4 linked regions of the Pelodiscus sinensis genome follow. The protein of the gene in region 1 interacts with the protein of each later gene in a biochemical or structural test. Links are inferred from orthologs where the notes say so. Each region holds a gene or a part of one and is shown in the gene's direction. Other genes may lie near its edges.

The links.
Region 2: the proteins of HSP90AA1 (region 1) and ST13 form a complex in vitro, tested with the Homo sapiens proteins (2 studies listed by BioGRID). The link is inferred for Pelodiscus sinensis from reciprocal best matches to the Homo sapiens genes HSP90AA1 and ST13.
Region 3: the proteins of HSP90AA1 (region 1) and PPID form a complex in vitro, tested with the Homo sapiens proteins (2 studies listed by BioGRID). The link is inferred for Pelodiscus sinensis from reciprocal best matches to the Homo sapiens genes HSP90AA1 and PPID.
Region 4: the proteins of HSP90AA1 (region 1) and PPP5C form a complex in vitro, tested with the Homo sapiens proteins (4 studies listed by BioGRID, with this or other methods). The link is inferred for Pelodiscus sinensis from reciprocal best matches to the Homo sapiens genes HSP90AA1 and PPP5C.

The regions. Positions count from the first base shown.
Region 1 is NC_134714.1:22,309,888-22,317,217, forward strand, and holds the start of HSP90AA1 (heat shock protein HSP 90-alpha), read left to right. Parts: upstream 1-4,328; 5' UTR 4,329-4,488; intron 4,489-5,988; coding exon 5,989-6,147; intron 6,148-6,244; coding exon 6,245-6,611; intron 6,612-6,904; coding exon 6,905-7,038; intron 7,039-7,330. UniProt on the Homo sapiens protein: Molecular chaperone that promotes the maturation, structural maintenance and proper regulation of specific target proteins involved for instance in cell cycle control and signal transduction.
Region 2 is NC_134711.1:89,685,957-89,693,306, forward strand, and holds the start of ST13 (hsc70-interacting protein), read left to right. Parts: upstream 1-4,342; 5' UTR 4,343-4,487; coding exon 4,488-4,597; intron 4,598-7,350. Other genes in the region: XPNPEP3 (xaa-Pro aminopeptidase 3), read right to left, coding at 3,855-3,915. UniProt on the Homo sapiens protein: One HIP oligomer binds the ATPase domains of at least two HSC70 molecules dependent on activation of the HSC70 ATPase by HSP40. Stabilizes the ADP state of HSC70 that has a high affinity for substrate protein.
Region 3 is NC_134715.1:59,628,815-59,636,785, reverse strand, and holds the start of PPID (peptidyl-prolyl cis-trans isomerase D), read left to right. Parts: upstream 1-4,965; 5' UTR 4,966-5,059; coding exon 5,060-5,126; intron 5,127-7,971. UniProt on the Homo sapiens protein: PPIase that catalyzes the cis-trans isomerization of proline imidic peptide bonds in oligopeptides and may therefore assist protein folding. Proposed to act as a co-chaperone in HSP90 complexes such as in unligated steroid receptors heterocomplexes.
Region 4 is NW_027465849.1:6,189,884-6,197,513, reverse strand, and holds the start of PPP5C (serine/threonine-protein phosphatase 5), read left to right. Parts: upstream 1-4,623; 5' UTR 4,624-4,725; coding exon 4,726-4,846; intron 4,847-7,630. UniProt on the Homo sapiens protein: Serine/threonine-protein phosphatase that dephosphorylates a myriad of proteins involved in different signaling pathways including the kinases CSNK1E, ASK1/MAP3K5, PRKDC and RAF1, the nuclear receptors NR3C1, PPARG, ESR1 and ESR2, SMAD proteins and TAU/MAPT.

The DNA.
Region 1 (7,330 bases):
TAGCAGTAGGGGCAGCACTTTACAGTTAAACTACTATCAAAGCATAAACCTTTGCTCAGTCATGCAGTGGTGAAAGTAAATTAAAAATCTTCCCAGGACAGGAGCCGCATGGAGCTTTGGGAGAAGGGCAGGACTCCGGACCAGCATCTGCCAGCCTCCCCTTTAGCACTGCACAGTGCGTATCACTTGGGGCTTTGGCAGTAATTTAAAGGGCCCAGGATAGGGTCCGGCAGTACTGCCATGACAGCACTTTATTGTCAACGATGTATGGGCAAGTACTGGCAGCCACTTCTTACCGGTATGCTATATCAGCCTGTACTGGGTACCGGCCCATTTTCGTCTCTGCAAACCGGTATCCTTAACAGGGTCTGCACTTCTTTAGGCCACCACTAGGTTTTATATCCATAGCAGAAGGTGCTAAAAAATCCAGCTTCACATTTCAACTCTTCCTCATTATGTCAGCTCTCTGGGATCTATTTTTGTGAACAATTTCAGATGCTAAAATTCTATTTCCCTTCCGTACCTCACACCTGAAACACTCAAATAACATTATGATGGCCATGATACAAGAATGCAAATAGATTTACATTCCTAAAAAATTCTGTAAAAGAACAGGAAGGATACAAAGTCAATTACTCAGAAGTTAGAAAATGCTATAATTAAATTTCCATGCAGTCTTAGTTTTACCTCCTTGTGTTTATGTATTATGAAAGTCTTGCTCAGGAATGCACAGAAATCCTGTGGCAGAGATAGGAATAGAAACCCATTCACTGAATTTTAATCAAGTGTCTTGAATACAAGACATTAATCTTTCTTTTCCTGCAATCTTCTGTTCTACCATCCTCCTAATGGATTGACTGAGGCATGGAGTCTTTCAGCCCAAGTAGTATGTGAACATGTAATTAAAGACTGTATCACAGCAGACAACTATGAGTCTCAAAAAATAAAGCTCCATCTGTGCAGATGCAATTACAGCATCAGGATCTATACCATCAAATTCAATGCACATTTGACCTACTACTGTATGGTGTCTTATGAGGTGGCTTCTGATTAGAGGTGGGCAGAAGCCAAGAACAAAGGAATGACCATTCTGTGTCAGACAAATGGTTCATCTAGCCTAGTATACTGTCTTCTGATAGAGGCCAATGCCAGAAGCTTCAGAGAGAATGAATAAAACAGGGTAATTATCACGATTCTCCAGTCCCAGCATCTGGTAGTCAGAGGCATACCTATAGCATGGTATGTCATAGTCAGAGCATGACGTCCATAACATTTGGATTAGAGTTGAATTTTCAAAAAGCTGAGGTTGTTCGTGTCTACAGGTATGGACTATTATAAGAGCAAGATAAAAGGTTGATGTTCCTCAGGTTAAGGACTGTGCTTTTTTGGCACTTCTCCTTCCAACAATGAAAAATCACCAAATCAGCAACAAGTCTGACATTAGACCTGTTGTTTTATTTGTTCTCCAATGATAGGTAATTAGTCCAATGTAATAATATCAGTTTCCTTAACTCATGTTTGGAACTACAGTGATAACAAATAAACATTTAAAAATTGCATATTGTTATAATAGGAAAAGTACATTTTCAGTCTTTTTGTTTTCAAACACACCTGACTATTTTTGCTCAATTGTCTTTCCACCTCTCACCCCCCACTTGCAAATATCAGATTTTGAAACAAATAAAGCTTCTGACATTTCAGCACTGGAAAATAATGAAAAAGAGATTTATATGTAGCTTAACCACTATAGTTGTTACTATAGTCACATAATACAACAAAAAGAGTACAGCATCTAAGCATGATTCATAAATAAAATATTAGCTTTACACTTGCACAGGCTGGCATGTGGATAGGACTTAAGCAGAGAGGGAGATGCTGAATTGAGCAGTTTAAGTTTGGTATGTGAACACTTTCCTCCAAGTGGATTTTTCTAAGAATTCTGAAAAAAATCCATCTAAGATGGATTTTATATTGCCTGCCATTTTGAAAGCTAGAAATAAATGTAGCCATTAAATATAGGCAAAATGCTAGTGACTATGATCTTTGAAAAATGCTGAACATAAATCAAGATTTCTTAAAAAAAAATCCTGGAAAATATGGTTTTTAAAATAGAAAATAATATGGTTTTTAAAATAGAAAACTAAGAAAATAATATGGCTATTGGCATAGACCAGTGGTGCGCAACCCGTGGGTCGTGACCCCCAAAGAGGTCACAGATATCTTTCCGGGGGGGGGGGTCACAGTGTTTAGATCCGTTGGCAGCCACACGGTGTGGTGCTTAGTTCCAGCTGGCTGGGCGCAGCGCGGCACTTAGATCCAGCCAGCCGGTGGCTGGGCCCAGCAGTTAGTAGCCCCCATGGTGCAGTGCCTAGATCTGGCTGGCCGGGGGCTGGACCCAGCAGTTGGTAGCCCCCGCAGCTTGGGGATTGCAGATCAAAAAAGGCTGCACATCACTGACATGCACACTACAAACTAAGGCCCTGATCTTGCAAAGACAAAAGCACTCTCCTCCTTATAACTGCCAATTTGCGTAAAAATTAAGTGTATACATAAATCTTTGCAGGATCAGGGCCCAGGGTAGATCTGGGTACAGAAACCCCAGTAGTGGATACGTAATCTGGGGGAGATGAGCCAGGGAAGTGCAACTTCTGCAGCCCTACTCGCTGTACTATTTTCTGTCTGTTTCTTTGGGCTCAATTCTGAAAGGTTCTGAAAGCCCACAATCATCACTGAGATCAAGGGATCACACAAAAACTCAGGCCTTTAGGTCTAATACTCCAGTCATTTCTGCGTATGTGGATCATACTGCAAAATCAGGATATTAAGACTTGGAGATAGAGCAGCTGGCAAATTTGTTTAAATATTTTTTCTAATAAAAAATCTGCTTTTTTCAAAAGTGACAAAAGGTATCCATTTTAAGTGAAATTTCATTTTGGAAAAAATATCAGAATGAAGGGGCTATAATATGTTCACATGAAATTCACTGATTTATATCTAAAACATTTTGAAAGGTCAAAATAAGAGCTAAATGTTTTAATTCTAAGTGGAACATTTTGGTCATCTCAAAATGTTTTCTTTTGGGGAGGATTTCAATTTTTAAAAATTTCAGTTTCTGATTTTGTTTCGTTTGGGCTCAAAATTTGCTGAACTAGACTATTAAACCCTTTACTTTAAATGCAAGGTCTGTTCTCTCTGCATGGCAGTCAAGTCCTAAATTTAGTGAAGGAAGCGCAACAAGAGGGGGGGGGAGGTAGCAGCTAGGCAGAGAAGCACCAGTGAAGCCCAATGCAGTAGACAGGCAAGAGCTAGTATGTGGTGAGATTAGGGAGTGCCCCCCACATCTTTCAGTACAAAGTGACATGTGAGGGGGCTGCCCCAGGAACTTTCAGTGCAGCATGGCATGTTGTGGGTGACCCAAAGCCACCCAGTCGTGTATGCGGATCACCTCAGGGCTGCAGTGACGAACCCAGGCCGCAGTACCATGCAGTATAGTGTGGGGAGGCACCCTAGAGTCACGCAAGAGCCTGAGGGGATGTCTCAGGCTAATGCACTGAGGCGTGGCATGGGGAAGATGCGCCCCAGATCTGTACACTGCAGCGGGGCACGATGGCGCCCCAAGGCCGTGCATGTAAGGTGGCATGGGGGGAGAGGCACCCCGGACCACGCATGAAACGCGGAACGGGGGGAGAGGCGCCCTAGAGCCATGCAGCATGATAGGAAGGGGGGGGGGGGGGGTCGCGCAGTGAAGCATGGAAGGGAGCACGCGACGGGGCTCCCCGGGGCCACGCACCGAAACGCAGAGACCCTGAAGGGAAACGCAGCTGGAGGCGGGGTAGCGCCCCCCAGCTCTCACACGAGGTGCGGGAGGCAGAGAGAAGCGCGTCGCTTCTGGCTGCTTCTAGGACCTTCTGCGGGAAGCAGGGTGAGGGCGGGAGGCAGAGCCCGAGAGGCGGGACTTACAGAGGCTGATGGATTCCGCCTCCTTCTAGGATGTTCGGAGGGGAGGAGATCGGCTCCGGCTTGCAATGAATGAAGTCACCTTGCAGCGTGCGCACTAGCTCTCCCCGCCCTTTCCGAAGCCAACCGGTGACAGTTGACCTCGCGCAAGCGCATTTCCCATCCCCGTCTTCAGAGGCGACAATTGGAAATGGAGCGCGCGTGCGAGCCGGGCTCCGCATGACGCATGCGCAGTCGCCTCAGCGAGGCGCCAGACGAAAAACGCATGCGCAATCCGAGAACGGTTCGCCCAGCGCACGCGCATTTTGATCGCAGCAACCGCCCCCCTCCGTCAGCCCCTCCCCCAGTGATGAAGGTTGGAGTTACCCACCCCCGTGCCTGTCAGTGAAGGTTCCCGATGGTTCTGGAAGGAGGCGGCGCCGGGAGTATATAAGCCGGGCGGGGGGCGGCGAGCCGCCAGTTCCGTTACTGCGGAAAGAGGAGGACGCTTAACTTAGAGGAGCAGGAGCCCCAAGAACACTCACCGCCAAGGTGAGGCGCGAGGAGCGGTGGCTGGAAGATCGACCCCAGGATGGTTTTTTCCTCAACGGGCTCGTTCTCTAGCTGAGCCTGGAACCGTGGCTTAGATTGATGGCGGAGCCTTTCCGCGCCGTGTGGTGGAGCAGGCTGCCCTGCTTGCGGGGGTGGGCAGTGCGGGGGGGCGATGTGAGGGGCGCAGCCCACAGTGCCTGGCGCACAGCGGTGCTGGGCGTTAAGGGGCGTTCGTGGCCCTTAGGTGGCTGCTGAGGAGGAAGAGTAGGTGGGAGCGGGGAGACGCAGTATGTAGGGGGCCCGCCCCCTTGGGTACCCGCCTGGCTCACATGCAGGGGGGGGATGATGGAGACCGGCAGCAGGAGGAGGGGTCTATTGGGAAGAGGGCTTGTCGCGCGGCACGGGGGGGGCACCGGCTTGGGGAGGGGAGGGTCCGCTGGGCGCGGGACTTGCGCTTGCGGCTGGGGGGGGAGGTGGAGGTGGAACGAGGGGGAGGAGAGGAAGGCTCTCGCAGTTTCTAGAATCTGTTCCAGGTCTGGATCTGTAGGGGGCGCTGTGCTCCCATGTTTGTCAGTGCCCACTCTCCCATGCCTGTGGTGTCTAGCCTGCCTGAACTGCTGTAGAAAGTACCCTTGGGGATCTGGACTGACCCAATTCTCGGTGGCTATCTGTAGTGCAGTGCATTTTACTAGTTACTGCAATGGAAAAGTAGCTAGTGAGGTCTCCCTTCAGTTGGATTTGATTTAAATGCTGCAGTGCAAGTTTAAACAGTCATGGCACTGGGCTCCCCTGACTGGCAAAACCAGTTTTTCCTGCATGACCAATAGATTGTTACCTCTGATGTATAGATACCTAGCAAGAGATGGCACTCTTCTCTGTTAAAAGAACCTGTGTTGTTACAAGCTGAAAGTGTATGAGCTATAATGTTCTGTGGTCTTTAGGAGAAAGCTCCCAGTAGGACTGAGTATTCAGCCAAAACAAAAAAATTGACTATTTGACACTAACCAGATTATCCAGGTATGTCTTGCAAGTCACATTCTAGATCCAAATGTTGTATAAAGTGAAACTTAATTTTTGAAAGTTAGATTCTGTAATGTTAACTTACTGTATTCAGCACTTAGTATTGTTCTTGCAATTCTGTATGCTCTGAGTTTTAAAGATGCATGGTAGGCAATTGGACAAATTACTGCCACATTAAACCTTCGTCCTCTTGAGGAGCTGAGACTTGTACTTATCTGTCACTGACAGGCCTTCCTAGACAAGGGTTATAAATGAGCTGGACTGCCCTTTGCTGCCAGCAGGAAGAGCATACCAGTTAGGTTTGTCTTTCTTAGTTGAATATTTAAAATGCTATATGCTGTCCACGACCCTTTCCCAAAGTGGTGGTGCTTGTTAACAGCAGTTTAGGTGGTTGAACATAAAACGGAGCAAACATTAGTATTCTTCACCTAAGAGCCATTCTTAAGAGCTTAAAGTTATAACTTCATTTTAATTCTACAGATGCCAGAAGCTGTGCAGACTCAAGACCAGCCAATGGAGGAGGAGGTGGAGACCTTTGCCTTCCAGGCTGAAATAGCTCAGTTGATGTCTCTGATCATCAACACTTTCTATTCCAACAAGGAGATTTTCCTGAGGGAGCTGATTTCTAATTCATCAGATGTAAGTAAGAAAAATGTCACATGCAATCAGTGACATTATTACCTTTAAATACAGGTAGTGTGGTGAGGGGTCTGATAGTTGTATTCTTGTTTTGTAGGCTCTGGACAAAATCAGATATGAGAGTTTAACTGATCCAAGCAAACTAGATTCGGGAAAAGATCTGAAAATTAACCTTCTTCCCAACAAGCATGATCGCACCCTGACCATTGTGGATACTGGCATAGGGATGACCAAAGCAGACTTGGTTAACAACCTGGGTACTATTGCCAAATCTGGCACCAAAGCTTTCATGGAAGCATTGCAAGCAGGTGCAGATATTTCTATGATTGGTCAGTTTGGTGTTGGCTTCTACTCTGCCTACCTGGTTGCTGAAAAAGTAACAGTGATCACCAAGCACAATGATGATGAGCAGTATGCTTGGGAATCTTCTGCTGGAGGATCATTTACTGTCAGACTTGATAATGGTAAGTGCTAACTTGGTGTTGTAGAGGTAGTTCTAAAGTAGTCCTTTATAGTATAAGGAAATCCATGAATAGAAGGCTCTTCAAGGTGCTACAGCTGTAGCATATAGTATCTTGTAATACTAGAATGACAGTTAAAATAACTGCTTCTCAAGGGTGATATATCTTAATCTGCAGCAAAATTAATTAAGCTGTAAGCCAGTTACAATAGTACCATAGCAGTAGTCTTCTGTTTGTCTTAAACATCTTTCCAAACATTTACTGGTGCTTACTGTAAAACTCAAACCTTATTCTAGGGGAACCTCTTGGCCGTGGTACGAAAGTTATTCTGCATCTTAAGGAGGACCAGACTGAGTACCTGGAAGAAAGACGAATCAAGGAAATTGTGAAGAAGCATTCTCAGTTTATTGGCTATCCAATTACACTCTTTGTAAGTGTTCAGCTTGGAAAGCTAACACAATTTTAACTGGTGGTAAAGAATGTTAAGTGAGTACAAGGTTTAGCCATAATAACTTACAAAAATGATTCTGGAGTCAGATGGACCAGATATAAGTATATTAATGACTCTTAATGTGTAGTATAGACATTTGTCTACAAATCCTAAATAAGAATCTTCTCTCCCCTGTCCCTCCACCACACGCACTTGCTGTTGGACTCCTGCCAAACAGCAGTGCTTTCAGACCTGATTCTCTTGACAGCCACAGAATAGGGTGTAAAATGTG
Region 2 (7,350 bases), on another chromosome or scaffold:
CTCCCCCTGAAAACTGGCTTCTGCCTCTCCCTCCTCCTCCACTGCCTCTATGGAAGGCAGCAAGGGGGGAGGCAGGTAGCTCCACAGAGCTGGCATGCATGGAGAGCCAGCTTAAAAGCCACCCCTCCCCCCCCATGCTGCCGCCTATAATAGAGAGGCAGCAATATATGGGGGTGGGGGGGCAGTCAGTTCCACAGGAGCTGATACATGCAACAGCCAGCTTGAAAGCCAGCTCCCTGCGTGTACCGGCTCCCATCTGTCCCCACCCCCGTGTCGCGTAGCTGCCTACACTTTGACAACCCTACTGCAGATTACTTACACTGACTGTGGGCTGTCATTCTGGTCAATTGTATGACTCCATGGAGCAGTCAAATTGACAAGAAAGCTGTGCTGTCACCCTGTTAGAGACCCGCTATCTCCAGACACTCCACTCCCAGACAGGTTGCACCCACCCCGCTTCCAACTCCCTTCCTGGCTCCTACTCAGAGACTTCCTGCAGAGAGCCTGAGTGCCATCTGGACTCCGGTTGCAGTCAAAATCCTGGAAGTGGTGAGCCGAGCACCTGAGGGGATGTGGAGAGCAGATGCCCCTCTGCCGTAAAGGAAGCATTTCTCATGGGGATACACACCACTGACAGGAGAAGGGTAGTGTGGACACGATCCATTGCAGTAATGACTGGTGGTTGTTAGTTGACATCACACAGGTGGATGTAAGTTTCTAGTGTAGACTTGCCCTCAAGCAGTGCACCATTACAAGGTCCTTTTATGTTGTTCAGAGCATTATAAATGAACCTTAGAATATGGCCTAGTCCATGCTTAAAATATAAGTTCACAAAACTACAGCACTCAGGGCCTGAAAAATCCACATCCAGCACCATACCTATGTTCACCTAATTGCATCTGAGTTTACCTAATTGAGTCTGTAGATGTAGCTGAAGAATGCTTCCATCAACCTAACTACCACTTCTGGGAAGAGTGTGTGTGTGTGTCCATAAAGCAATGGATTAACCCCTTCTCTCACTGTAGATTGTCTACCATACTCCTCATAACATAGACCTGGTCTATGTCTACATTACAGACTAAGGGTGGCTCTGGACCCGTGGTCACCAACCAGTAGATCGCGATCTACTGGTAGATCTCAGGGGCTCCAAGAGTAGCTCTTGAGCCCTCTCTGAACTGCGCACCTGCGCAGTACATTTACATTAGATTTCCTCATGTAATGTAGGCGCGGCTTCAAAGAAGGGGCAGGGCAGTAGATCTTCGCATGTTCTGAGACTTAAAAAGCAATCTCAGGTGTAAAAAGGATGGAGACCACTGCTCTAGACTACATCCCTATTTCGATAAAGGGATGTAAATTAGGCATGTTGATATTGCAAATGAAGCCAGAATTTGAATTTCCCATGCTTCATTTGCATAATGGCGGCCGCCGCTTTTTTCGAAATGGGGCTTTTTTTGGGGGGGGGGGGGGAACTACACACACCCTGTCAGTTTAGATGGGGATCTTTTGAAAATAAACCCTTTTTCGAAAGATCCTGTAAACCTCATTTTTTGAGGAGTACAATATCTTTTGAACAAGGGTTTTATTTTCAAAAATCCCTTTTTCGTAATTTGTTGTTTATTCATACTTATGATTGACATGGCAATGCCAATACAGTTTAGATCAAGCCTCAGCATAGATCTTTCTTTCATCAACTTATCCCTGTCTACACCTGGGGTTAGGTCTGACTGCAATAACTTTTCAGACTTAATTTTTCAAGTATAGACCAGGCTTGAGCCTCAGATAGAACCACACAGTAGGATGCATGAGAAATAGATCTATCAAGTGAGCTAAAAGGGAGCCTTTACTAGTGGTCACTCATTTTAAAGGTTCAGTGTCATCAGTAATGACAGTAGGATAAAAGTAACACAAGTGCTATGTTTTTAAATTAGAAGGATTTTGTTCAGTAGTTTGAGCTAAGATCTGGGAGTCCAAGCTTCTGAGTGATATTCACAGCTATGTCTTGGATTCACTGTGTAAGCAATGACAAGTAGTTTGATCTCCTTGTCTCACCATCCACATGGAAAACAAATATAACGCATACATTAGGGATGTAAGAGTGTAGCCATTTCAATGAGTAACCAGAAAGTATGCTTATCGGTTACCCAAACAGCTACACATGGCTCACCGTCTGGCTCCCAGGAAGCTGCCTGCCATCCCACGCTGCTGCTTACAATATAGAGGCAGCAGCACAGGACAACAGGTAGGAGCCGATATGTGTGGGGAGCAGGCTTAAAATCTGGCTCCTCATGCAAATCGGCTCCTGCTCTAGGTGTAACTGTGTAATCACTGAAATTGTCAGCAGTTACATGGTTATCGAATTATACAAATTTTAATGTCGCTATTATACATCTCATGGAGACTTGTGGGACTTAAATTAAAATATACCATCGGATTAATTTTGGCCCAAGAATCTAGGTTTAGTACAATAACTTTAGAGGGCATAAAATTCATAGAAAGAACGTGTGCATGTTAATTAACAGAAAAGCTTTTGATTTCTTAATTGATCTTATTTCTTCATTCTTTGCAAACCAAATACAGCTTACAAAGATAGCTTCCATTACAAAGATAGCTTCCCCAATTATCACCTCTAATATCATTAGCTCAGACATTTCCCCCCCTCCCCCATCTCCCTTCTGTTCTGAAATTTGATTTGTCCTTTTCATATGTGTTCATTTTTTTTTTGGTTGTATCCTTTGGTATATATGGTCGTGCCAATTTTCTTCCACAATTTGATCTGAGGAAGTGAGTCTGGCCCACGAAAGCTCATCACCTAATAAATCATGTTGTTAGTCTTTAAAGTGCTGCATAGTCCTGTTTTTTGTTTCAGCTAGACCAGACTAATACGGCTACATATCTATTACAAATACAGCTTCATAGTGAAAGTGTGAGAACCAGGAAGCAAAGCTTGTCTCTTTTCATTCTCCAAGCTAATTACAATTGTCCAGATCCTCAAAGGTATCTATGGGAGTTCAGCTCCTAAACACTTCTGAGAATCTGGACCTAAATGTACATAAAGTATAAAGGGTGGACACAAAAATTGACTTTTAAAATCTTTTAGTTTTATTAATTTAAGGTTCTTTGCCCTGCCAGCAGCCTTTTATTGCTTGCTTGTTTAGTGTTTTAACACCTTTTATGCATGTGCTGTATAAGGCCCTGATCCTTCAAAGAGGTCTTACAGGATTGAGGCCTACAATTTCAGTATAATTATTAAAAAAAACTGCAGAGTGGGATTTCTAAATACTGACATTGATTTTAACCTTTTAAAATGAGCAATAAAACATTTCTAAAAAGCATTCATGGAATACTTTGTTTTGCATTGCAGAGCACACCCTAGCTTTACAAACCTTGGAATTTTCAGCTTCGAAAGCAGAAGCGCTGTCCATGTATTCTTTGTAACATCAAATGTATCAATAAAGATAAAAAGCAAATATTTGACTCACGTGTCAAAAAAGGGAATTAACACGAGCATTAATGGCATCTTGAACATGTGTGTCAGTACACCTCCCGATAATTCTTTCTACATAACATCACAAATACACAGGATCACTGCCTCAAAAACCTTACAGGTAAATTGCAGCTAGATTCCCCCACAAGGGTCTATTTTACACTTTTCGTGACAATCAAAGGAGTTAAACTGGATGATGAAAGAAGCAGAGGAGGTGCCAAACACTCGCTGGGCCCTTGCACGCATGGAGACAAAGAGGTGGCGGCTGCAGAAAGACACAGGCCCTATATCGAGGAGGGGGTCACCGCGCCGCAGAGCGGGCCAGGCCCCCGGGAGAGGTTTGCCATTAACAGGAACTGAAGTCTCTGACCTGAAATGATGCACAAGCCCTTCGCAGCCGGGATAAGCCTCTGAGCTGGGAGCCCTGGCATGGCTGCGCCCCGCGCAGACACCACGCTACTGCCGGGTGCCGTGGTCCTTAGGGAAACCAGCGCCCCGCATCCCCCGCGCCCCTGCAGCTGCCATCCGCGGCCGCGCTGCCAGCCACCTGCAGACTCCCCGCCCCCGCTCGCACATTGCGGGGGCCTTCCGAGCAGACGGCCCTGACTAACTACGTCATCCGCAAGTGCCTCTTGCCCCGCGTGCTCCCAGCCTTAGCTGTCCGCGCCAATCGCCGCAGCTCTGCAAAGGGAGGCGCCTCAGCCGAACACTGCCCGGCCACAGCCAAGCAGGGGCTGGAGTGACTAAAGGACGCGAGTGATGACGTAACGGAGGGCGGGGGGGGCGCGTAACGGACAGTCACGCATCCCCTTCTAGAAGGTTCCGGTAGCCGCGCAGTGGCGGGGCCGAGGGGTTGCGGACCCTGGAGGCGGAGCCGGGAGGCCCCGGCCAGGCCTTGCGCGCGGAGTAGCGCAGCGTCGGCAGGGGGCGGGAGCGCGGAGGCGGAGCTGCGCGCGGCGCGGGACTCGGGGGCGAGGGCTGGGAAGTTGCGGCGCGGCCGGCCATGGATCCGCGCAAGGTGAGCGAGCTGCGGGCCTTCGTCAAGCTCTGCAAGCAGAACCCGGGCGTGCTGCACAGCGAGGAGCTGCACTTCCTGCGCGAGTGGCTGGAGAGGTGAGTCCGCGCCGCGTGCCTGGGGCGGGGTGCGGCGCTGTGTCGGTGGGGCGGGGCGCGGCCCTGGCTGTGTCCGCGCCTCCGGCGGTAGCTAGTATCGGGCGCTTCGTAGCCCGGCGTGCGGCCCCGAGCAGAGGAGGCAGCGCCAGGCTCGGGGCGCTCAGTTCAGGGCCTGAACCCGGCGGTGGAATGACCCGCGTAGCTGCAGCAGTTGCCCCTGTTCCTCATCTGCCCGCGGTGCTACTTCAGAGCGACTTCGGAAAGTAACTCGCAGCGAGGGGCATCCGCCATAGATCACATGCTAAAATGCCTTCAAACCACCACCTGCTGCTGGAACTTTACTTGCCCCCCTCCCCCCCCCCAAACCAGGCCAGCCTCAGGAAGCCCAAGTGATAAGACTTTCCAGTCCTCAGGAGTGTCTTGTGGTGGCCAGGGCTGGATTAAATCTTTGGGCAGGGCTATTAGATTTTTGCTTTTTGGGTCCAGAGTGGGGCCTAAAAATGAGGGGTTCAGATTTATGGGAGGGGGTTGTAGGTTGAGAGCCAGAGGGGTCAAGGGCTCCAAGAAAGTATGTAGGTTCTGAGGTGAGACTGGGGATGAGGTATTTAGGGGGCAGGGCCTCAGGCTGGGGCCTAGGAGTTTGGAGTGGGGGAACAGGCTCAGGACAGGAGGTTGCAGGGGACTGGGTGAGGGATAGAGTGCTGGAGCAGGCTCAGGTCTGGGTTGGGTTGCAGAGCCTGTTTGGGAATTAGAGTGTGAAAGAGGGCTCAGGCCTGGGGCAGGGGATAGGAGAGTGGGGGCACTTACCTTTGGCAGCTCCTGTTTGGGGTATGGATGTACAAGGTGTATCCATAAGCATCAGCTTATCTGTTTCTGTTATGGTTATACACTGGCTTCCCCAGGAGCCAGCAGTCACCCCTCGCTGCAGGCTCTGCAGTATAAAGTTGTACTCAGACTAGAGCCTGCAACAAATCAGCTCCCAGTGTGTACTTGCTACCAGCCCCACACCCAGGGAGCAGGCTATCACCCTGCTTATAAACGGGTTCCTGACGTTCACCTACTCCAAGCTAGTGGCCCCATTTTATTGCAGTCTGCAGCACATGTAACCGCTAGGATTTTTAACAGTTACATTTTTAACTAATTTTTTTTAACATTTCTAGTTTGGGGTGGTTGGGACAGATGGCTAGCCTGAAGGTACTGCCTCCTGCAGCTCTGGTTGACTGCAATCCCTGGCCAATGGGCAGCATGAGATAGAGCTTCTGGAGGTGTGGGGGAGAGGCAGCATGCCAATCCACCTCCTCCCAGCCTGCCAGGAAGGGCTGGCCAGGAACATGGGGTGTTAGGAGCTGCAGCCCTTTTCTTAATCCCACCCTGGTGGTAGTTTACAATACAAAGTACCTACAGTATCTCTTGTGAGTACTGATTATTTGGAAACAGAAGACAAGAAATGTAAGGAAAGCCGAGTGTCCATGGATTGCATCCATTTAGTTCCAATAGTTCATTCTTCCCCAGAAAAACTTGGACACAAAGAAATGGATCCTTCCTGATATTTTCATCAGAAAGGAGGAGGAAAGAATTCTTGACAAAATGAAAAATTTAAAGCTTTTCACAGAGTTCCCCTATTTGGATGTCTCAAATGGGAGAGAAGAATTGAAAAAAATGAAGTCCCTGCCAATGTCACAAGACAAAAACTTACAGGCTTCGGGTACATGCAGTTCCTAAAACTACAGGTTGAACCTCTCTACTCGGGCACTCAGTGGTCCAGCAACAGCTGTGGTCAGGCATGATTTTAGTTAGCTGGATGTCCACTGATCATGGGTGTGGCTAAGTTTTCCATGGTCCAATAAAGTTTGTTTACAGCCGCTAATCCTGGCTCTCAATGTTCTGTGCTATTGTTCAGCTCCAATTTACTCCTAAATGTCTTCCAGTAAGCAGTGGAAGTGTTGGTAATGCTGTTAGGCAATATTGACCTCCCATAGTTCGGCAGTGGTTAAGTCCCAGGAGTGCTCGTCTAGAGAGGTTCAACCTGTATTATTTTTCCCATCTGATGATTTCAGGTTGAATGTGCCTTTCAACTGCATGTGTGAGAGAGAAGAGGAATCTTTTGAGTTGAATATCAAATCCCTGTTTATGTATTGAGAGTGTGTTGAAGTGTTGGTAGTTGTACAGCTTTTCTATCAATTCAGGTATCATACATTTTACCTGTATTTTAGGGTCCAGAACTTTGAGTCACAAGGACTAGAAATAAATTCCATAAACCATCAATAATATGATATATTGAATTTATTTCAGGTTGAGATGGTTTGAAGCATCAGATCTTAAAACTCATCCTTCTGAACAGCTTTGATTTAGCACTTGTTTAGAGGTATTAGTTACAGATGTCTGAATAATACAAGTTTCTGTCCCAGTATTTGTTGTCACCTTTGAGTTAATCAATTCAAAACCTAGGGTATGTCTAGATTGCAAGCTTCTTTCGAAAGAGAGCATCCACACCTCAAAGCCGGAAGAGGGCATCCAAACTGCATGGACGCTCTCTTGGGGCACCTGTGCTTTTTTTCACTTGCCTCTTCTTTCGAAAAATGTCCCTGTTCTGCCTTCACACATGCCTTTTTTTGAAAGAGCTCTTTCAAAAAAGGTGTTCTTCCTTGTAATTTCAGGTTTACCAATGTTGAAAAACCCCCTGCATTCTTTCGATTTAATTTTGAAAGGACGCGATTGCAGTGTGGACGCAGGTTAAGTTTTTTCGAAAAAAG
Region 3 (7,971 bases), on another chromosome or scaffold:
TGTCAGGAATGTTTGTTCAATGGCTATGCTAATTAGCGAGGCTCCAGGGACAATAGATCTCTAAATGCCAAAGACACACCTGGGGAATGAATCTGGATGCCTGCTGACAGCCAGAATAATGATTGCTAGCTTAAGACACAAGGATCGGTCAATGGACCATGTGACCTGCAGTGACCTGTTCTGGCCAGGAAGATGCCAGGAGAGGTATATAAGTTCCATGTGGCACCCTCCATCTTGTCTTGAGTTCAGCTCCTGATCCCAGATGCAGCCTTGCAGGGAACAACGAGCCAGGAAGAACCGTGGACTCATGTACACCAGAGACTTTTAAGATAGCAGTTTATAACATCTCTGCTAAGAGCCTGTATTGAGAACTGGGTGATTTGATGCATGTAACGTATTCTCCTTTAACAACCGTACTCTCATGCTTTTCTTTCTTTTAGTAATAAACATTTAAATTTTAGATTCTAAAGGATTGGCTCAGCGTGATCTTGTGGGTAAGATCCAGAGTGTAAATTAACTGGCATCTGTGGCTGGTTTCTTGGGACCGGAGGAACCCATTTGGGGAAGGTGAGATTGGGTTCTATAACCCCTCACCTGTGTGCTAAGCCCGGGGCTGATTGGGGCACAGGGAGCGCTGGAGTGTCAGAGGGGTTTTGCTCATGAGGCTTCTGGCTGGCCAGATTGGAAGCTGAAGCACTGTGTGACTGGTTTGTGGCCTATTTGGGAAGGTCTCCAGTCTGGGGCTGTGAGGAGCCCCGAGTGTGAGCAATTCACCCTGAGTGGACACCATCAGCTGTGCCCAGACCCGGCCTGGTACATCACATCTTGAGTCCCTACCCCCAGCCAGAGTGAGAAATACAGCAACAATGTGCACTTTCCCCTGGCTCCCTGACATAAGGAAACAGCCAACAATGTTCCTGGACAAATCCGGGGTAGGAGAGAGCTTCAGCCATCACCCCTCACCATGTGTAAAGGGCACCCAAGGAGTGGAAGTCTTGGGGACGGAACAGTCCTGGACGGGGGTGCCCCTAGCTAACCCCTTTCACCTGCTTGGTGAGTCTGTTTCTTTTCTGTATGGTTTTATAAGAGGAAATCCCATTCTAGCCACATCCCGTTTTCCTGGCACAACCATATACTTACCTTGCTTTAGGTTATGATAAGAGGAAGCTGTATACCAAAACTTGGTGGTCCTAGCGCTTAGCGTTTAGAAAGAGTCCTTGAAAACACAAACTCCCTCAAATATATAGTAGATAATAATGTTATAATATAGTACTGATCACATGCAAACTACACCCACTTCATCTCCCAGATAGTGAAACTAAGGGGTTGCCTCAATGGTCTCCAGGAAGACTGTTAATGATTCTTCCAGAGGAAAAGGTGTCAGCAGCTCGGAGGAAAACTTTAGCCAGACCACGGTTGAAAATACCTGTTCTGCACAGAAGCATCCTGGCCAACTACTGGCCAAATGACATAACTTCTGGGAAAGATAAATGATAAGGACTTAGCATCCTCACATAGGTTCAGCTTCACCCACCTGGACACCTACTGTAAGGTTTCAGGCCATGTCATGACACAGAAACAATGTTAATTGTAGTGGTCAGAGATCTCCTTAGGCCAATGAACAGATACCAGATATCTGATTACTCAAAATTTTGGTGACCTTTGACATTGCTGCACATGTGAAATTACTAACATAACTGCATGATTTGGTTTAGAGATAGATGGAATTGTCTTAGAACCACTCACTCCTTTCTGATTATTCCCAGATAGTGGTGGATGATTTTTTGTCTCCCAGCTGTAAAATCCTTGCCAGCCTCAATACTAATAAACTTTTTCAATAAAAGATACTAAAAAAAAATCATGACCCAGTGACAGACAGCTTTACTTTGTTTTGTCTTTTGATTGTGGAACCTTCCCTACACTAGGTCAGTAACTAGCACATATTAGGAGATGAGATCTGCTTGATGCACCTCAAACCAGACAACACATAGACAGGTGAAACTAATTAGTAGGGAAAATGCTCTCTGGACATTTGAAATCTGTATAGCCATCTGTCCAACCATTAACACTTTAAGGGATTTCACTAGAACAGGTATGTCTAATGGTTCCCAACTTTTTCCAGATGGGGACTCATTTTGACAATTCAGGAAGACTTGGTGACCCAAGGAAATTCAAAAACGGGGAGGAGAGGAGGCAGAGCCTCCTGAGGAGACACTTGGTGACCCTTTTGAAATGTAATGGAAGCCCATATTTGGGTCCCAACCCATAGGTTGGGAAACCCTGCTGGAAGAGAATTAAGAAGAAATTTGCACAACAGGTTGTCAGCCGACGGTCAGGGCAGTGAGTCCCTCATGACCGGCTGAAGTTCTTTTAAATTGTGCTTGGTTCTGTTACAGCAACTGAAGGAGTCAGGTTAAAGCTTAAACAGTTACTATTTTATTGTTACAGGGTAAACTTAGCTGTTAAATGCTACTACTGTGTTACAGATAACACAGACACTACAAAGGACAGGACAGAAATTACACTAATAAGTCACTTACAGGTACCATGAAACCCTTTGGTTCTCTGAGCTCTTATTAAATGCATGCAAAATAGACATATAGCAGGTATATATTCTTACCCCTGAGTTCCAGACTTGGCGTGGCCAGCGTCTTTCTCTCAATCCCTCGGGAAGAAGTAGGGCGAGGTTGGGCGTCCCACAGACCTCGGGAGACAATCAATACCTGCCAGCAGGTATAGATGATTGGAGCTCAAATGGGGTGGGCGGCTGAACCTCTTTTTATACCCCTTGGGTCATGTAGGCTTCTTCCTGGTTTCAAGTGGCCAATTAGGAAAAATGGCTTTGAATGCCAAGTTTCCCACGAAGGGTGCAAAGCATAATTTACACCTGGGAAAATGCAGACAATGGGCACCTCTGGTATGTGATGGGCGAAGATTCCTCTCCTGGGACAGTGCAGACGTGTCAATTACTGGTACTAGCCATCAGGGCGACGGGAGGCCCCGGGTCGTCAGCTGGCCCATTTACTGTCTGGTTTCTGTTTATGGTAGAGTCAGGGACAGGCAGCAAACCTGTGTTCCCAGGGCATCAAAGGCTGACTGCCTTTCTCTTGCTCTCTGGGGGGAGGAGGGGGGAAACAAGATGGGGCTCGTGGAAAAACAAGATGGGGTTTTTGTGTCTGGCTACACAGGTCCTCAAAATTATTTCCCAATCAATCAGTATCACTACCATCTTGTTTTATAATGAAAAGATGTTCCCTGAGCCCTGATCCATGATTTTAAAACTGGTGATTCATAACATAGCAAAAATGATTTTTCCCTTGAGCATTTTGATGTTGGGCTTGGGTTTTGTTTTGTTTTAGAGCTCAAAATATTGCCATTGTGTAGATTTCCAAAGAAAGTGTTAAATGGTGCAGCACAAAACAATATTTTATCCTGTTGATTTTAATTTGGAAACAGTAAAAAAAAAAGTTAAGTACTTCAGAATACAATCACCCAGATTCCTGTATATTGCTTACTAGAAATGTGCAGTGTAAAAATTTAAGTCAACCAACATTGCCCAAAGCAGGAGACAGGATCAAAAGAACTTTCACACTTCTTCAGATGTTGTGCCCATGAAAACTCATTATACCATCTACGTTTTTTGTTAGTCTTTAAGGTACTGCAAGACTATTCATTGTTTTTTTATTTTTTTTTATATTACAAACTAACAGGGCTGCCCCTCTGAAACTTTCAAAAAGGGCTAACAAGTTGTCTCCAACTCCAGTGCCACTTCCAGGAGAGGAGCAATATAGCCATGAATTGCTAATGTACCCCAACCACTTTTTGTCCTGTTAATGTGGATACTTACATTTGGTTTTTTTTATAAGCCTCCCATCCCCCGCCTTTTAGGCATGACACAATTGCAGCAGCATGTTTCCATTAATGATATTAATATTCAGAGGGGTAGCTAAGTTAGTCTGCAACAGGAAAAACTTAAAAAACAACAAATAGACTAGTAGCATCTTAAAGACTAACAAAACATGTACAGCCTCCCCCCCCCCCCGAGTTACAAACGAGTTACAGACCAAACACTTGGCCGTAACTCAGTTTGTTCATAACTTGGACCCCATTAAGTTACATAGCAACCGCGCTGTTCATAAGCACGGGTCTCGTTCGTAACTCAGGGACCGCCTTTACAACCGCTCCATGGGAGTTTTGCTCATAAATGCGAACAGTCGTAACTCGACCGTTCACAACTCAGGGACCGGCTGTAGATACCATCTACATGTTTTGTTAGTCTTTAAGGTGATATTAATATTTGTTAGGGGAACAATGTTTTCTTTACATTTGATTACTTTGTGACCTGGGGGCCCCAAGATGCAAAGCTCCAGACTAGCAGAGAATCCCAAGGACTGGCGGTCTCCTCAGACAAGCACAAAGGCCCAGATCCTCAAAGCCTAAATAGCTTTGAGAATGTGGGTGGGGGCAATGAGGAAATCTCAAACAGCGATTCTGTGAGCCAATCCACAAAATACAAATTCTTCTATCAGCAGAGGAAATGAAGCACATTTACATGGGATGGGGTTCCCACATCTCCCAAGTCAGAGGTCAGAAACCATGGGCATAGCACACCTTAGTTCAGGGCAGTACACTATTTGGTGTCCCATCGTGCGTAAGTGCTGGAATTAGGGATGCAGGGGTTGCTGCAGCCTGCAAGCACCCCCTGGCTTGAAGTGGTTTTTCTTATATATGCAAATTTAGAGTTGGGTTTAGTGGCTCTCAAGCACCCTCACTATACAAGTTGCTCCAGTCCTTTCCTCCCCCTCCCCACTATACCCCTAACCTAGGGGACTAAAAGCAGCCGCTTCTATTGGGTGTCCGTGGAGAGCCGCAATGGGAAGGCCCGGGTGCAGTTGCACGTGCATGCTCGCCCGGTTCCCCACGCTAGCTAGCGCCTAGGCAGCGGCAGTGGGAGGGCCACAACGCTTAGTGCTGCCCCGGAGGCAGCGGGCGGAGCTCTTCTCCGACCCGGCGGAACGTAAGTGAAGGCAGCGCGCGTGGCCGGGGGAGGAGCCGCAGCATGGCGCACCCGGCCTCGGCCGCCAGCCCCCGGGTCTTCTTCGATGTGGACATCGGGGGCGAACGAGGTGGGTGCGGGCGCGAGAGCCCGCGGAAGGAACGTTGGCCCCGGGCAGGGTAGCGGGGAGGGGCCCGCGGCTCGTGCTTGCGGGGCCCGGGCACCCCGGCTGCGCTGCGTTTGCAGCCTCTTGCGGCCGCGCCTTGGGCCAGGCGGCTGCTTCTCGGAGCCTGGCGGCGGCTCCGGCGCAACAAAGGGGATTTGTGGCGGTCAGGGGGCAGCCTGCCCCGCCCCGTGCGGGCCATGAGCGCTGCTCGCCCATCCCTCTGCCAGGGCCTGCGCGCGCTGCCCAGGGGCTGCTCCCGGGACAGCCGTGAGGCCTCAACACCTTCAGCTGCTGGTGGCTCCCTCCCTGGCGCCTGCCTGCACTGCAGTGCTGAGTAGCCAACCTAGGGTGATTTACAGCCACTGCAGCAATCACGGTGGCGGCTGGTGGCTTATATCAGCTTCCTCCTGGCCTTCTGTTGCGCACCCTCACCGGAGCGCTCCCATTCCCTGAAAAGCGGAGGGGCTGGTGTTCTCAGCTGCCCCTCGGAGCTTCTCACCTACCTAGGAGTGGAAGGGCCCGGTGCCAGATTTCTTGTCAGTTTCAGGTTTCCCAGAGACCGCTACTATAAGGAATACAGCGTCTCTACACACTTTGCTGTGTCTACACTGCAAGAAGGGGCGGTGTAGACAGCTCTGATTCTAGTGCAAGAGCCACTTCTGCAAAAATGGCGGCTCATTAGGTATGCAAATGAGGCTCCACGATATTCCACGCTTAGGCTCATTTGCATATCTCTGGCGCATCAACCCGCCAGTGTAGACACAGCCAAATTTGTGTGTTACTCTAACAGCAGGGACATAAGCCCTATGTCTCCTGTGAGGGAGGAGTTACTAGTCAGTGGAGTAGGGCACTTTAATTGGTGGGAGCAAGCCTGTAGTTATGTCCGCCTAACTCTAGTATAGATGGAGCCTGGGCAATGCAGGCGGCCAGCTGGCACTTAGGTTGTGTACATCTCTGTGTCAGCCACATCTAATCCAGCAGCTCACCAGCCATGATCACAGACTACTTTTTCTTTACTGTGCTTGGCTGATGTGATACTTCATGCAGCTAGTCCTAAACTTTCCCAAACCCATGCGTGCTGCAGCATTGAGAGGAATACAGTGATCTTTTTACAAGAGATGTCAACATGTAGATGACTAGACAATTGACCGATATGCCTGGGCTTATTGGTTAATCCTGTTGACAATATGCACCCTCCCCCCTGCAAGGTGGAAGGCAGGAGCCGGTGCCTGTGAGCCAGCTCCCCATAAGCACTGGATCCCATAGAGCCACCTTCACCTCCACTCCGTACTGCCAACTCTGATAGAGAGTCAGCAGTGTGGAGGGTGAGAGGAAGCAGGCGAGAGCTGGTACATGTAGGGAACACACACTTTGACTCCCATGGAGCCGTCTGCCCTCTCCATTCCTCTCCATGCTGCTACCCTTCTATCAGAGGCAGCAGTGCAGGGGGACGAAGGGTTGTGCAGGCAGGAGCCAATATGCAAGGGGAGATGGCTTTTAAGCCAGTTCTCTGTGTGTGCTGGCTCTGCGGAACCTCGGTGGATAGAGGCTGCTTTGTGGGATGCTCGGGCCCCTGCGGACAGCGGCAGCAGGTGAGAGCCGATCTGCACAGGGAACCGTTTTTTTTTAAACTAGTTCCTCTTGCAAACTGGCTCCCACCTGCCACTCAGTTTCAGGGAGCTCCCTAGGAGTGGGGCCGGGAGCATATTGGCTGCTGCTGTCTCTGGTACTATCGAATAGTCGTGTAACCATTAAAATTTGATGAGGTTACACGACTGTTCAGTTGCATGCTGTCTGTCTAAGATCCATGCTGTTTACTCTTTTCAAGTGGCAAAACCTACCAGCTTGCCATATTCACTGGTGTTAACATTCACTTACCTGCAAACACTGTACCATTCATTTAGGTCAGGCTCTGGGGTCAGGCCAAAAATGAGGGGTTCAATATTAGGGATGCAGTATCCTGTTTAATCAGTTAACCAGGCTGGAGCCATTGTAGGGGGCTGCTCTGTCCAGGCATGCTGGGCCTGCTGTGGGCAGGGGCTACTGCTGCGGGGCATGAATGCACTCCAGTCCTGGTGGGGGAGCATCCCCTCACCCATGGCAGGTGAGGGGCTGCCTCAGATCCTGCTGGATACCCATAACCAGTAAACATCACCCTATTCACATTCCTATCTGGTATGTGGGACATGGGCTGCCAGGGAGCAAGGTGGGGTTGTGGAGTCTGAGCAGGAGTCAGGGTCTGAGTTATGGTTCAGGAGTGGACTAGGGATGTAAAAGTAGTTGAATAGTCGAGTTGAACATTCACATTCTCCCCCACCCTCCTTTGCTGCTTCTATATCAGAGGCAGTAAGTTGGGGGGGAAGCAGGAGCTGTTGCTAGGGGGAGCTGGCTTAAAATCCAGTTTCCCTCTATCACCATCTTTGCATTGCGGGAGGCAGAGACGTGCCAGGTTCTTACTAATTTAAAAGGAAGAGCTGCAGCAGTTGGGAGGTTCTTCCTACATTTAAAAGGCAGAGACACAGCAGGGTCAGTTCCTGGGACAGTTCCGGTTTGCGCCCGCTCTGGGATGCTGCAGCTCTGCCTTTTAAACATAGTAAGAGCTGCAGCTGGGGTAGCGAATGCCCCCCTCCCCCAACTATTTGAGTGGTTGATGGAAATTCCAATGATTACTTGATTAGCTGATTGATCACAATTTAACATCCCTAGAGTTGACTGGGAGTGCAGGGTCTGGGTGGGAGTTAGGGTGCAGAAGGTAGGCTGCAGGAAGGGACAGGGGACTGGGTTGTAGAAGGGGGCAGGACATTGGGTG
Region 4 (7,630 bases), on another chromosome or scaffold:
TTGTCATTGGCTGCAGGGCCTGGGGGGGGACCACAGGAAAGGGGAGCTCTCGGTGCCTACGGGTGGAGGGCTGGATTGGCGCTCTTACAAAATCAGCCGGGGGCGAACTGGCACCTGGAAGTGGCTCGTTTCTCTGGGCACATCTACGCAGCAGGGCTAAAGTCGGAATAAGCTGCGCAACTTTGGCTGTGTTGATTGCGTAGCTGAAGTCGAAAGAGCTTCACTTGGCTTTTGGTGCTGCCTGCACAGCAGGAAGTGGAAGAGGGAAACCACTCTTCCTCCCCCTCCCCTTGCCCCTCGTGAAATGAGAGTGACAGGAGTCGGGGTAAGAAATCCTCCCGTTTGACGGTACGGTGAAATAAAGGCTTGTAGTGTAGATGCGCATTTTGTTATTCCAAAATAATGCTGCTGTGTAGACGTACCCTCTGGCTCTAACCACTAGACCCCAGAGCCAGGGATCGGACCCAGGAGTCCTGGCTCCCTGCCCCTCTGTGTTCTAACTCACGCATGTTCTGACCGAAGGCCCAGTCTGGACGAAGAACCCCTCAGAAGTGGGGGTAAGAGGAGTGTGGATGCCAGGTGTTTATTCCCAACCAGGCTGGAAGGGGAGGGAGTGAGGTGAGGGACCAGAACTGAGGCTCTAGGAGCTCTGCCACGGCCGTGCTCTATGACCTGCAGCTCACCCCCTTTTCTGTGCCTCAGTTTCCCTCAACACCTGCTAAATGCCTTGTGTGCATCTTGCCTGCCTCTTGTAAGGAGGGTGGGAGGCTGCATTGCCAGCATGTGGAGAAAGGGGTGAGGTTGTTGGGTGAACCCCCCCCATCGCCCGCTCCGATAATCACAGCTGCCGGCTGAGCGTATGCACCCCCGGGCACGGCAGGCAGCGGCAAAACCCTGCTTCTCCTAAGGGGGCAGGGGCCCCTTAAGACAGAGCCGCCAGGCTTGTCATGGGCTCTCGGGCCACTTCCAGGCCAGCCCCAGGCCCTGCTGCTGCCGTGCACGGCCCAGCTGGCTGGAGCTACCCAGGCAGTTGGATCCAGGGGTGAGGGAGGTGGTGCCCATAGGGGGCACTGAGGGGAGGCGCAGTAAAGGGCCGGCCAAGCTCACCCCTCCGGCCAGGGCAGACTCCAGCATCCTTTGGAGCCAGGCCTGGTGAGGAACGGGGCACTGCCTGCTCCCTCCTTAGCCTGGCTGGGGTTTTATCCCTGCTTGCTGGAGTACAAGCCATGGGTGATGCAAGGTGCTTGGAATCAGCCCTTCTGGGACCCAGAAAATCACTGGGCTTGAACCTGCCACTCCCCAGGTGCTGGGCTAGCTCACCTACCTCTCGACCAGTAGGGGGCATCAGAGCACTTCACGAGGGGGGTACAGTCCCCGCATCTGTTCATCCTGTACCTAGAGGTACATCTGCATCTGCGGGGACCAGCAAAGTCTGGCTACTAAACAGAGTGAAGGGCGCCCCCTGCTGCATCACCCATGGCACAACCTCCCCCCCCCCCACAGCAGTGGGAGAGTGAGAGAAGAGTGCCCCCTGCTGGGTCCTAGCTGGCTTCCTGCAGCACCTAGACTTCCATCTATACTCAAGTGATGCAGTGACCCAGCTGTACCAGGAGCAGCAGATGCTTCCTAAAAGAGCCACGGCCCCTCCTCCTGAGGCCCCACCTCCTCTCGTTGGGCAGGGCCCCAGCCTTGCACCATTCTTGGAGGGTCCTGTCCTCATGCCACCCCTTCTCCAGGGTCCTGGCCTCGCATTGCCCAAGGCCCTGCCTCCAACCTGCTTCTTCCCTGACATTTCCCCCACCACACACGCTCCTCTCCCCCTCCTCGCTCCCCCTCGTGGCTCTCACAGGCAGCCACGGCACTTTTACAAGTGAGGGGCCCTGGCTGGAGCACCAGATACAGCAGAACTCGCGCTCCCTCCTGCTCCCTGGCTGGAACGCAGGGTGGGGAGAGCTGTGGAGGGTTGCGGGGGGTGGGCCTGGGTGCAAAGTGCGTGGGCCACAGCCCACTCAGGCCCACCCGTGGCTACGCTCCTGCCATTTGGGCACTGACTGTGCAGCCCCCGTCTCTCTCTCCCAGCATAAATCTGGCCATTTACCAGCTCTGGGATCTCAATTCCCTGGGCCGGGGGGCTCAAACTTCATTGTACCATGATCCCCAACCATGAAAATTACGACAGGATCCCCGGAGGTGGGACTGAAGGCTGAGTCTGCCTGCCTGTGCAGGGTGGCCAAAGTCGAAGCCACGGGAGGAGCAGTCAAAGTCCAAGAGCGTCAGCCCTGGTGGGAGGCCTCTAAGCTGAGCCCCACCACCCAGAGCTAACGGCCTGGAGCTCTGGCCCTGGGCAGGGGGCTTTGGACTTCAGCTTTGGCCGAGGGCTGTGGGGCTCGGGCCAGGCCTCGTGACCCCATTGATATGGGGTCATGACCCACTTTGTGGTCCCGACCCACAGTTGGGAATCGCTGCCCTAGACGAATGACCCAAGCTGTGGCCCTTTCCTGGAGAGATGGGTCAAGATGCAGGTTTGACCCAGGGAGCGATTGCAGGCTGCCCTTGTAGAGGGTCTAGATCAGAGGTGTCCAAACTTTTTTCAAAGAGGGCCAGATTTGATGAAGTGAACATGCGTGAGGGCCGACCATTTTGCCTGACATTCTTTGAACCATTAAAATTAAATGCAAATTAACTATTTTATGCAAAGTTTATTGCAAACGGCATACTTTTCATTTCGTCACATGGATGACAAATCTAAACAGGTGTTAAATCACTCTGCCTTTCATATCTGAAGGCCAGATGAAAAAAAAAAATCCAGGAAGCTGAAAGATATGTCAGGAACATTGTAAAGTACATGACATATTATTGGTAATAAAGGTTGTCTGTCAACTTTTAAGTTCAAAAAATATGAACAGGAACATAACACCAAGTATACATGTTGTGTCCAAATGTATTTATAACTGATTTAGACCAACTGACATTAACTGAGATTTTACAATGTATTCATCTCAATACATATGGATTCATTGGGGGCCATAAAAGATAGATATTGCCAAATTACCTGGGGGGCCGTATTAAACCGGAACACGGGCCGCAATTGGCCCGCAGGCCGGACTTTGGACATGCCTCGTCTAGATGATCACATGCTGGAAAAAGCCAACCGTCTGCAGTCAGATGGCCTCCTCCTGCCATGGGGACAGCTCCAGCAAAATCTAGCACCGTGGCCTAGTATGTACAGCACTGGACTGAGACCACTCAGGGCGCCTGGGTTCTGTTCCTGACTCCAAGGTGACCCAGGGCGAGTCACTTCCTCACTCTGAGCCTCAGTTTCCCCATCGGTAAAATAAGGATATTTGATCTCTGCAAAGTGCTTTAAGCTGTACCTGTGACAAGCACTAGATAAGAGGCAGGGATGATATTCTTCTTCCAGATTAGATGCTGTGGGGGAGCCATCCCATGCCTCAGAGCGGGGCTTGCAGTGCTCAGCTAAACCACATGTTCTCCCCAAAGCTGGGGGTCTGATGTGGGGAATGACAACCACATCCCCCGTCCTGCCTCAGTTCAGAGCCCACGGCACTCCTCAAAGCCAGGAGCTTTGGGATGGGGCCGTACCTCTCTGCCCCTGCTGAGGTCCTGTGACCCCACGGCCACGCACCCCAGGATGGGACTCTGGAAGACTGGGCCCCCCATGTTGGCTCAGGGATAGTCTCTTGCTGCTGCCCAATCATAACCAACCTGCCACAGGTTCTGATCTAGTCCCCTAGTGCTACCCAATCACCACCCCCCAGCTTGATACTGTCCAATCGTGCCCCCACCCAGGTGCCACCCAATCACACCTCCTCCCTGGGGTGCCTCCCAATCACACCTCCTCCCCCTGGTGCCACCCAATCACACCTCCTCCCTGGGGTGCCAACCCAATCACACCTCCTCCCCCTGGTGCCACCCAATCACACCTCCCTGCGGTGCCACCCAATCACACCTCCTCCCCCTGGTGCCACCCAATCACACCTCCTCCCTGCGGTGCCACCCAATCACACCTCCTCCTCCAGGTGCCACCCAATCACACCTCCTCCCTGCGGTGCCACCCAATCACACCTCCTCCCCCTGGTGCCACCCAATCACACCTCCTCCCTGGGGTGCCACTCAATCACACCTCCTCTCCCAGGTGCCACCCAATCACACCTCCTCCCTGGGGTGCCACCCAATCACACCTCCTCCCCCAGGTGCCACCCAATCACACCTCCTCCCTGGGGTGCCACCCAATCACACCTCCTCCCCCTGGTGCCACCCAATCACACCTCCTCCCCCAGGTGCCACCCAATCACACCTCCTCCCCCTGGTGCCACCCAATCACATCTCCCTGGGGTGCCACCCAATCATGCCCCACCCTGCTGTCGTCCAATCACGCGCCTCCCTTTGCCACTACCCAGTCATGCCCCGCCCCCCAGCCCAAGGGACAGCTAATCGCCTCCAACGTGGCACCGCCCAATGGAGCCGGGGGGGGGCATGGCCACTCTAGCCTCCCTTCCCGGGACTCTATGGTGCAGAGTCGCGCTTCCCAGCCTCTCTATGGCTGGGCCCCGGGCCCCGCCTCCTCCTCAGTGCGCGCGCGCGCGGGGGAGCGTTTGCGACCTTCCCCGCGAGCCCCTCCCCTCCCCCTTGGCGTTTGCGGCAGCGCTCGGCGCCGGGGCGGTTGGGCGCGCGCGGTTGCTAGGGTCGCTTTACGGCCCGGCGATGGCGGAGGGAGAGCGGGCGGAGCAGAGCGGAGGCCCCGGGCGGACCCCCCGGGAGGGGGAGGCAGGGGCGCCGGAGCGGGCGGAGACCCTCAAGTGCCAGGCCAACGAGTACTTCAAAGGTAGCGGGGGGCTGCCACATAGGGAGCCATGGGCGGGAAGCGGTGGGGGGAGGGGCTGCCAGATAGGGAGCTATGGGGGGGAGGGGCTGCCACATAGGGAGCCATGGGCGGGAAGCGGTGGGGGGAGGGGCTGCCAGATAGGGAGCCATGGGGGGGAGGGGCTGCCACATAGGAGCCATGGGCGGGAAGCGGTGGGGGGAGGGGCTGCCACATGGGGAGTTGTGGGGGGAGGGGCTGCCACATGGGGAGCCATTGGAGGGGGGAGTCAGGGAAGGGACCCCTAGATGGAGACCCAGAGACTATGTGGCAGGGATGACTGGGCGAGGATCCTGCCAGCTGGGAAGGGCTACCAGAGAATGAACCCTGTGGGGGCAAGCAGAGAAGATGGTAGGTAGTCAGAGGCAGCCTGGCCTAGTGGTTAGAACAGTGTGTGCTCTAGTCATGGGGTCCAAGGCCAGAAGGGACCCCTGGGAACAAGTATCCTGACCCCGCGTATTGCACAGGACAGGGAACCACCCCCAAATAATTCCTAGGGCAGATCTCTTTGAAACCCATCCCATCTTGATTTAAACCTGGGGGGTTGATTGTAGGGTGTAGTCATTAGAGCTGGGGACTGACGCCTGGTTTTTGTTCCTGGCTGTGCCACTGGCCTGTGGGGTGACCATAGACAGGAAATTTTCCTGCTCTGTGCCCCAGTTTCCCTATCTGTAAAATGGGGTTAATGATATTGACCTGCCTAGTACAGTGTTCTGAGAGCTCCTGATGAAAAGCACTAGCGAAGAGCTCAAGATTTTCATCCTCGCTATTGATTGTTGCGCTCAGGACAGAGGCCTCATGCAAGCAGTGGAGACTTGGCCCCTTTGGAACTCCGTTTGCGAGGGAAGTGGGGCAACAGGAAGGGCATTATGGCTTAAGAGCAAATGCTTTCCCCTTCTGTTGCTCTTTATTCAGGATATCCAAGTCGTTTGCAGATTTGTTAATTAGCTGCTACATCGCCCTAGGGTGAGGGAAGTGACTTATTCAGGGTCACCTAGGCAGTCTGTAGCAAAGTAGAGAGTAGAACCCAGGAGTTCCAGTGCCAAGTTCTCTCTTGTAATCACGGAGGCCTGCTCTGCACTTGAACGTTTTACTGTTACCATTATTGTGACTCAGGAAGTGATTTTTTTTTTTTGTAAATGGGGTTGTGCTGCTCTAACAGTGCTGGTACATTTGAAGTGATTCAGTTTTGATAATACTCATCATTGGGCTAGTAAATCAGAATAAAGGGGCCAAGCTAGGAAAGGGCCTCAGGATGTGTGGGTGTGGAGGGGGGATGGAGGAACAAGGTCAGCATAGTGAGCTGTTGATGGGTTAGTGTTAGAGGAGATGTTGGTCTGTCAGAGGGATTGGTTTTCTACACAGGGCGCTATTCTGGAATAGCTGTATAGTGGAATCAGTTTAAAACAAAACCAAAACCAGTGCAAACCTCATGCATGAACTCTTATTTCCATTCAAGCCAGGGTCATTTCAGCTGTTCTTAGATTGGTTACGAATCAGATTAAATTAACCAGAAGCAAGGCCCTCTTAGGTCAAGTGTCCACACAGCAGTGTGCATGGGTTTAACTACATTGGTGTAACTTTAACCAATGCAACATTTTTGTCTAGACAGATCCTTATTCCAGATTAAAATCATTCACACATTGTTATTCTGGATTCGCTGTTCTGTTTTAAATCCACATCCTCCCTTATTCTGAAGTTCTTGTGGAGATAAGTGCTTATTCTGAAAAGAGAGTGCCTTTTTCCAGAGCAGTTTGATCCCTTTTGGAACGGGCTTAGGCCAAGCCGCAGCAAGGCCCTCTTGTTCTAGGAATAGTGGGCGCACCTATGGAGTTATTCCTGGATGGCTGCTCTGCTTTAAATTTACACCCTACCTAATTCTAAAGTAACTTTCATGTGGAAACAAGTCCTGAGGTGAGGGATGTACTGTCTGATGCAACAGAGGACATATTCCCGCAGGGCTGGATAATAGCGAATGAGATGAAATAAATCAGTGGAGCAAGCTACTGGCAGGAGAAGGAAGGCCTTGCGGATGCGTGTTGCAAATAGGGTACTGGTTCCCATAGGCTCTGAAGGCTTTGGGAGTGGCCTGGCCTCTCCTGGGAGGGATGTGCAGACAAGTGATTTCTCTAGCGACTGTCTGTGCCCTGCCCTCCGGGAGTTGCCTTAAGAGACACCTGCTGTACGGTACAGTCCAAAAGCCGACATGGCCTTCTTGGAAGCGGCCCTGTGTGTGAGCTCTTTAAGGCCTCTTGTCCTTAGGCCTGAGTGTCTTGTGTCCATGGGAGTTTCTGGTAAAAAGATCCCATCTTGAGAGCCCAACTTTGAAAGCTTTCCAGCAGGAGAGAGCCTCCTTTCTTCCTTGCTCTTTGTCAGTCATTTCTTTTCACTTTAACCCTTCACTCTGCAGGCAGCCCATCTTGGAAAGCCTGGAAGCCAGGGCCCAACCCTCAGGCACCGCTTTTACCTTTAGATATAATCCCACTGAAGCAGGAGGGAGGATTGTGAAGAAATCTGCACTTCCTGTCCTGGAATGTACATAAAACTTGGCATCGCCACCCGCTAGGGGAACCAGGACATACCAGACTGAGTCGGACCCAGTGGGAGATAGTTCCGGCTTCCCATCTCTCCACAGTGGTCAGCGCTGGTAATGTGAAAGTGTTCCAGGTGCACAGTTAACTGATGAGCCTGTGCTCTTTGGTTAACATGCACAGTTACACCCAGCTCCCCCACCTCCCTGCGCTGCTG